Linked DNA regions of Rattus norvegicus. The protein of the gene in region 2 purifies or fractionates together with the protein of the main gene of each other region. This does not show direct contact. Links are inferred from orthologs where the notes say so. Each region holds a gene or a part of one and is shown on either strand. Other genes may lie near its edges.

Region 1 (3,814 bases), on a different chromosome or scaffold from region 2:
CAAAATAACCAAAAGTGTTTAAAATAAATATCTGTTGAATAGAAAATATCATTGTTCTTAATTTGACCAGTTCTACTTTGCAATATGAGAAGAAGCAGGCGCACTTATAAGGGCATTTAATGTCATCTGACTGAGCTTGGACCACAGAAAAGAACATAAGTGATACTAAACTGAATGTGTCACTTCAAACCAACCTATTTTAAGCTATTATGGGAATAATCTCAACAGAATAAAAAACATGTATTGACAGTGAATAGAAATATATATTTTGTAAATGAAATTACAAGAGTCAGTCATTCTATATTATTTTCCCACAATATATTTGAAAATAATAATTTTAGTTATTTCTTGAAATACTTCTCAGATTGATAAATCTCCTGTACTATTGAGTTTAAAAGATTGTTTTAAAATCATTTAAAAATTAGATTTAACTAAAAACAAAACAAGCAAACAAAACAGACAAACAAGAACCAATTCCTTAATTACTATCAATGAACCTGATAAAGTTCCCTTTCTTATGGTGTGGATCTCATATGATTAATAAACAAAAGGCAAAAGTGAATTTAATGTTAATTTAATTTAGGGAGGCTGTAAAGAGAGTGAACACAAACTTTTAAGCTAGCTGCTCCTTAGTCAGAATTGGTGCAGAAACTGAGCCATGTAGCAGATTATGTGGGTCTAGAAAGCACACAATCTTTAAAAGCTCAGACACAAAGCTAGTTCTGCTCTACTGTTTTTAAGTAGGACAATGTAAATCATGATTCCTTAATTATATGTATTACCACACTGAACTATGTTGTTTTAGAATGTCATATATAAAAGGCTGGAGAGAAGACTTAAGGGCTAAAAGTACCAGCTGCTCTTCCAAAGGACCCAGGTTCAATTACAAGTACCCACGTGGCAGGCAGCTCCCAATAGCCTACAATCCCAGTTCCAGGGGAACTGACACATATGCAGGCAAGGCACCAACACAAGTTAAAAAATTATTAAAATTTTTTAAAATAAGATAAAATTTCAAATATACTAGAAGAAAGAAAATAAATCAATTATTAAATAGGCAAAGATAAACTTAATATTTTCTTTCTAAAACTCTGTATTTTCCCAAACTTAATTTGAGAAAGCCAGGCTGCAATGGTCTAATACTCTTGTTCATTCGTGTAATTAACTATACAGTACTTAAAGTGTTTTAAATAGTGATGAGTAAATACATTTCCTAGTGTTTACTTTGCAGTGTTGAAAGAAATATGTCATCAACTTTAACTCTGAAACATTGTGAATGGTGAGAGGGCGTAGTAGGTAAAAGTGCTTGCTAACAAGGCGGACAGTCTGAGGCTATGACCATCACACATGGGACATGGCACACACAGCCATGGCCACACGACATGCATGCCCACACATGTACACAGACACAGACACACACACAGACAACACCCTCACAGAAACACTTCTTATACATATGATTTCCTTTATAAAAATTGAAGCATACTAACAAGGATCCCAAGCAATTTCTTGGTATTTATTTCTGAGTTGTTCCAGGACCTGCTACTGAAATGTGAAACAAAATGTATCAATGAAAACAAACGTGGAAGGGCTACTCACAGAAACATCTTTCAGTTCTTTCTCCAGGGAGAAATGCTGAGTGTCCTTGGAAAAGATGAACTTGTATGCACCAGCTGCTCCCGACTCTGGCACCAGTGCCCGTCTCAGCTCATCCATGTATTTTTCCTGCTCCATAGCCATGTCATCAGCTTCCTGTGCAATCTCCGATTCAGAAACTATGGGAAAGATTAATTAAGGAGATGAAATCAAAAGGTTCTATTAGAAAATATGGATTTAACTGTTACAACTACTTAACCAATATAACAGAACTTTGAAGAAATAAAATAAAATGTTTCCCAGTAGTTTTTTGCAGATACATTTAGTGCTGTTTATCTTTTTCCTCCCTCTCTTGTAACACATTCCCCTCTTCCCTAGGTAAGCACCCAAACTTCCCCCCTTTGCCCATTGGAAGCCCCTGTGTCCACTCCATCTCTTGAGCTCACTGTCTTCGTCTCTAATCCCCTCTGCTTTCCAGCTTCTGCAGTTATACCAGACTATGTACTCAGAATTAGGAACTGTGTGTGTGTGTGTGTGTGTGTGTGTGTGTGTTACAGATTTATGCCACGTGGGTAATAGTTCCTCTATGCAGGAATAACAGCTTACCTAACAAAAACTCCAGTGTCACAAAAGGGAAACCATCATGCTCTTGGTCAAGAGTTCTAGAGATCCTCCCAAAGTATGAGATATCCCAATGTCCTTAGTTGCAGTCCTACAATTTCCAAGTGAGATGCTATTGCATAACTTCTAATGTAGGACTGGAAGAACTGAACCAGTCCTGACATGGAGGCTTTTTCTCGGAACTAATGCCATTTCCCTAAATCAATATAGCTTCTAACTCTGTATTAAGTGCCTTATCTCCAAAGATAAATATAGTTCTCAGCTCTCATCAAAGAAACCTTGTTTGTAGTAGGCAGAGGCGTACTACGAAGATCCACAATCAGTAATACTGCAAAGAATGAGTGACTGTAGGGTCCACAGCCCCAGTTGATACATGTCCAACATACCCGTCCTCAGGAAATACCAGGACAAAAAATTGGAAAGACAGAGATGAATTCATGAGGAAAATACTTCAAAATATAGGCTTAACAGGAAATTTCTGAGTAGGGCTGCAATAGTTCAAGACCTAACTGGGAGAACTACAAAAGGAGTACACATAATTACAGAGCTTCTGCACTAAAAAACTGTACAGAAAAATTGGGATAATGAGAGAAAGCATTTGCAAGCAATTTATCTCAGGGGAATTAGTATCCTTAAAATATAAAGGCTAAGAAAAACCAACTTTGACATAATAACCTAATCAATGTACAAATGAACTGAATAGTACTCAAATAAATTGAGAGAAAATGATCAATATCCTCCTAACTCAACGGGATAATTAAAACCAAAGCGACAATTAAACTCCATCCCACAGTCAGAATGGCTCTATTTAAGAAAAGAAAAACGACACAAGTTGGTAAAGATGCAGTAAACCTTTACTTAGCATGTATATGCTGAGGATCAACTGGAGACAGGAGGTTACTGACAATAACAACAACAGCAACAACAACAACCATACAGGCCATAAGAAAAGAGGGCTATGGATTGGAGAGCATCATGGAAACTTAGTCAGAGGTAGTTGCGGAAAAGATGACCCTGTATAAACTTAAACTTATAAACTGTATAAAAAGAAACTTTTAAACATCACTCATAGGGGTGTAAAGCAGTGCATCTCCACTTCCCCCCAAAACTGCAAACAGAATAGATCATTCTAAAGCACTCTTAGGGTAAATACCCAAATGCATCAGTCAGTATAAAATAGGGACAGGTTCATATCCAGTAGTTACTATTCACAATAGACAGAAGAATCTGCCTGACTGCCTATCAGTGAATGAGTAGATTAAAAAAGTATGGTAAAGGTATACAATACAATAAAAGGAATAAAACAGGAGAGCAAACAATTAAGAGAAATAAGCTAAACTTTGGAAAAAAACTGCATGTTTTCTGTTATATGTGAAATCTAGATTTGAAAAATGTGTGCGGAGGAGAAAGAAGAGAAACATCAGAAAGCAGGAAAAATAGAATGAAGGTAGATATGATCAAAGTTCATTGTAGACTTGTATGAAAATGCCATGATAAAGACTTCTATACAAGTAATGTGCCAATAAAAAATGAAAACATACAATATGCTAATTTCACTAAACAGAAAGTATACCTATTTTAAAATATTTAATACATT
Region 2 (4,599 bases):
ACCCAGCTTTAGCGTATTTGTGCCAGGTATAGGGGCGATTTCCTCCACTTTATTGCTGTGACTGGCATCATAGTGGTGCCATGCACTTCGAATACTAAGGACAAATGCTGGTTTCTTTGCGCTGCTGCAGAGGAATGGCGATGAAAGCACACATTTGCCATTCCATCAGCAGGGAGGTGGGTGTAGGAGGCACAGGAGCTAATGTCAATTAATCTAGACTCCTTTCTTTCGGGTTTTAGAGACTTGTTCAAGATAGGGTTTCTTTGTGTAGCTTTGTAGTCCAAGCTGTCACCAAACTCACAGATCGGCCTGCCTCTGCCTCTGCTTCCCCAGTGTTAGAATTAAAGGCATGTGCCGCCAACCACCTGGCTGGAGCATTCTATTTTTTTTTTTTTCTTTTTTTCGGAACTGGGGACCGAACCCAGGGCCTTGCACTTGCTAGGCAAGCGCTCTACCGTTGAACTAAATCCCCAACCCTTGGAGCATTCTATTTTAATACCAGTATTTGCGAGGCAGGCAGGTCTCTGTAAGTTTGAGCCCAGCTAGGGTGTTATGGTGGATTAATGTACAAGCCAAAAAACTTGTCTGAGCTAGAAAGATAACTGTAGCTGGGCTTGTTGACAGATTTCGCTCCTAGGAGGAGGAAGCAAGGTCATGGGACCCTGACCTTAGTGCCCAGCCTTACTGGCAAGCAACTAGATGCAATTCTGCCCTAATTGCCTGTAGTCTGGGGAGGGGCTAGAGGATACTGGTGAGGAAGAAGTGTAGCTCTGTCTGTGCAGTATGAAAAAGGGCTTCATTTCTGCTAGGTAATGACGGCCCAGTGTAGTTTTTTGTGGGCAGCAACACGACCACCACCACCTATGCTCTGTAAGCCCCAATATATTCGGGTTTCCCAGAATGATCTGTGGTGGAATCATTTCGGGTTATCCTTCAGACTTTTGGAGAAGGGTAGACATTTTTTAGGTCCTCCCTGGAATGTAACTCATTTATCTATCTATTCATTTATCTATTTATTTATCTACCTATTTATTTTTGCGGCAATATATTCGGGTTTCCCAGAATGATCTGTGGTGGAATCATTTCGGGTTATCCTTCAGACTTTTGGAGAAGGGTAGACATTTTTTAGGTCCTCCCTGGAATGTAACTCATTTATCTATCTATTCATTTATCTATTTATTTATCTACCTATTTATTTTTGCGGTGAGGTCAGAATCTCACTATGTAGACCAGACTGGACTCGAACACAACAGAAATCTGCCTGTCTCTGCCTCCCGAGTACTACTATTAATATTAAACTCAAGTGCCACCATGTCCAGGAAGGAATTTTAACACGGCTATATCTTGAGACCCTGTCTCACTAAAACAAACAAACATACAAGGGAGAAAAAACCAAAACCGAGTAACTCTAGCGTAGGGATTAAGCGCCTATGGATCCGAGTTACCCCTATCCGCACAACCTCACAGCGCCGCAAGCGAGTCGGGACTGCGCATGCGCTGTGGGAGGAGCCAAATTTTCGGAGTCTTTCCCACAGCGTGGATGAGCTTTAGAATGAATTCAGAAGATACTCTTAACTATGCAATGCTCATACGCATTGCAACCATTGTGGTAGCCTAGGAAACGTCGAACCCGCCCATAGGCAAAGGGCGGGATTTCCGGTGTGACTCTATTGGGAAATCAGGACTTCCGGTGGCGGGTCGGTTGCTGGCTGCGGAGCGAGCTCCACAGTGAGTCCGTTCCCCTTCACAGCATCCAAGGATGTCAGAGCTTGGATCCAGGGGCCGCCTGTGGCTCCAGAGCCCCACCGGTGGGCCACCCCCTATATTCCTGCCGTCGGATGGCCAAGCCCTGGTTCTCGGTCGGGGACCCCTTACCCAAGTGATGGACCGGAAGTGCTCCCGAAACCAAGGTGGGCACGGGAGTGGAACTGAGGCAGTGAGTGGGATTGGAAGCTGGGGAACTTATGCCTAACCAGGAGCAATACGAGGCATAACGGGAGGGACAAAGCAGATCTGGGATTGTCACCGGGAGGGAAGAGGATACAAGAGAGAGAAGGTCGCTGAGCAGGATACATCAGGCCGTGATGCATCGGGCCATGTCCAAGACCTCGGTCTACCCAATGTATCTCATGGAACAAGCCAACCCTACAGATTAAAAAAAGAAAAATCTGTTCTGGGCAAGTCCGAGTCTCTGGCAATCCTAGGGACTCCGAAGAACATGGTCTTATTGAATAAACTGCCTCGGGCCGGGGGTGACACACACCTGTCATCCAGACAGTTGGGTGGTAGAGGCTTGAGAATCAGTTCAAGCCCAGCCGCTAGTATGTAGCGAGTTTAAGGCTATCCTGGGCAACCTGTGTTGGGGGATAGAGGAAGGAAAGTGCCTCTTTCCAAATAGTAGACTGTAGTTGGCCAAGCCCCCGTACGTGTTGTAAACCTTGACTCCACCCCCTTACCCTCAGTGGAGCTGATTGCAGACCCTGAAACCCGGACAGTGGCAGTGAAACAGGTACCAGCGTCTCAGCAGCGGGTAGCGAGGACTTGGGAGAGGGGCCGGGTAGATCACAACTTTCCCCTTTTCCACCGTGCCAGACTAGAGCCAAAGTTCTGACTGGCCACACGAAGTGACTAGGTGGGAAGATTAAAGATCTGATTGGGAGATAAGGTGTTGGACTTGGGGAGGCAGGTGTTCCATGAGGGGGTGGTGCCAACCCTAGCTCCTCCTCTGTCCGCAGCTGGGTGTTAACCCATCAACTGTTGGGGTCCAGGAGTTGAAGCCAGGGGTGTCTGGCTCTCTAAGCGTGGGGGATGTCCTTTATCTGGTTAATGGCCTATATCCCCTGACCCTGCGCTGGGAAGAGATCAGCACACCAGGATCCCCGCCAGACACTCCACCAGGCAATCCTGTGGATCCAGAGGAGGGAAAGGATACTGAGCCTCAGAAAAAGCGAATGCGGAAATCCTCCCCTGGCTGGGAGAGCTTTAAGCAGTTACTGGTGTTCACAGCGTCTGGAGTGAAGCCCCGGGGCAAGGTGAGGCCACCACCACAGTCTAGCCATTTAATTCAAAGTTTCCTGTGCAACTAACTCTGTGCTAGTCTATCAAAGTCTCTGAGCCTCAACTGTTTTGTGCAGATGGCTAGGATGCTAGTGGTGGCTGCCACCACTGAGGTACAGGGTACAGATCAGGCCCTGTAATCAGTGATGACCTTTCTTGGATGTTTTTAATGGGTCGCTCTGAAATTAGGACACAGAAAATGTGTGGTCTAGTTCCCTGTGGGCACTCGACCAACAGTGAAGTTCTCTTTTTTAAAAATTATATGAGGGGTTGGGGAATTTAGCTCAGTGGTAGAGCGCTTGCCTAGCAAACGCAAGGCCCTGGGTTCGGTCCCCGGCTCCGAAAAAAAGAAAAAGAAAAAAAAATTATATGAGCCTGCATGATTTTGGGTGTACTGTATGTATGCAGGTGGCTGCAGAGGCCAGGGAGTGTTGTGTGCCCTGGAGCTGTAGTTACAGGCAGTTATGAGCCATCTGACATGTGCTCTTAACCACTGAGTCATCTCTCCAACTCTTCCAACAAAGCCCTTTGCTCTTTCTGGGCTGTTAATCCTCCAAGGAGATGCTCTAAGAGAAAGGGTTGGGGAGACACTGGTCCCTACTAAAAACTGGAAGTGGAGGACAGAGGACACGGAAGGGTGATACTGATATTAAAAGGCTGTGTCGGGGCTGGGGATTTAGCTCAGTGGTAAAGCGCTTACCTAGAAAGCAAGGCCCTGGGTTCGGTCCCCAGCTCCGGAAAAAAAAAAAAAAGAAAAAAAAAAAAAAAGGAAAAGATAAAAGGCTGTGTCACTAGGTGGTGGTGGTGCACACCTTTAATCCCAGCACCTGGGAGTCAGAGGCAGGCAGATCTCTGAGTTCAAAGCCAGTCTGGTCTGTAGAGTGAGTTCTAAGACAGCCAAGGCTACACAGAGAAACACTGTTGAAGAAGAAAAGGATGGTGTCAACAAGCCTGTAGCAAAGGTCAGCGATGACAGTATTGCTGTCCCTGTTGTTGGTGATACCAGGTGGCTGCCTTTGACCTAGATGGGACCCTCATCACCACCCGCTCTGGAAAGGTCTTCCCCACTAGCCCTAGTGACTGGAGGTGAGGTGGGACATGGGAAGAGGCTGGGATGAGAGCCCAGAGTCCTTTAGATTACAAGTCACCTGCTACTTCCCATCAACCTTAGGATTCTGTACCCAGAGATTCCAAAGAAGCTCCAGGAGCTGGCTGCTGAGGGCTACAAGGTATGCGGTTGTGTGCATGGATAGGTGTTGGAAGCCAACAGCCACAAGAGGTGGGAACCTGGGGGTTGGGGATTTAGCTCAGTGGTAGAGCGCTTGTCTAGCAAGCGCAAGGACCTGAGTTCGGTCCCCAGCTCCGAAAAAAAGAAAAAAAAAGAAAAGAGGTGGGAACCTGTGTTCATGTGTACATGGACACATGCATGTATGTGTGTAGGGTTCAGACTGAGCTGTGTTGGTAGCGCTCGAGTCTGTCCCTGTCTGTTCCCAGCTGGTAATTCTCACCAACCAAATGGGCATCGGGAGAGGCAAGCTGCCA

What was found.
Region 1: the proteins of Pnkp (region 2) and Xrcc4 purify together in Homo sapiens (co-immunoprecipitation; 5 studies listed by BioGRID and IntAct, counting the BioPlex papers as one, with this or other methods). This does not show direct contact. The link is inferred for Rattus norvegicus from reciprocal best matches to the Homo sapiens genes PNKP and XRCC4.

Annotation. Positions count from the first base shown.
Region 1 is NC_086020.1:22,905,195-22,909,008, forward strand, and holds part of Xrcc4 (DNA repair protein XRCC4), read right to left. Parts: intron 1,776-3,814; coding exon 1,600-1,775; intron 1-1,599.
Region 2 is NC_086019.1:104,476,419-104,481,017, forward strand, and holds the start of Pnkp (bifunctional polynucleotide phosphatase/kinase), read left to right. Parts: upstream 1-1,694; 5' UTR 1,695-1,759; coding exon 1,760-1,910; intron 1,911-2,462; coding exon 2,463-2,509; intron 2,510-2,735; coding exon 2,736-3,032; intron 3,033-4,063; coding exon 4,064-4,143; intron 4,144-4,228; coding exon 4,229-4,286; intron 4,287-4,551; coding exon 4,552-4,599. UniProt on the Homo sapiens protein: Plays a key role in the repair of DNA damage, functioning as part of both the non-homologous end-joining (NHEJ) and base excision repair (BER) pathways.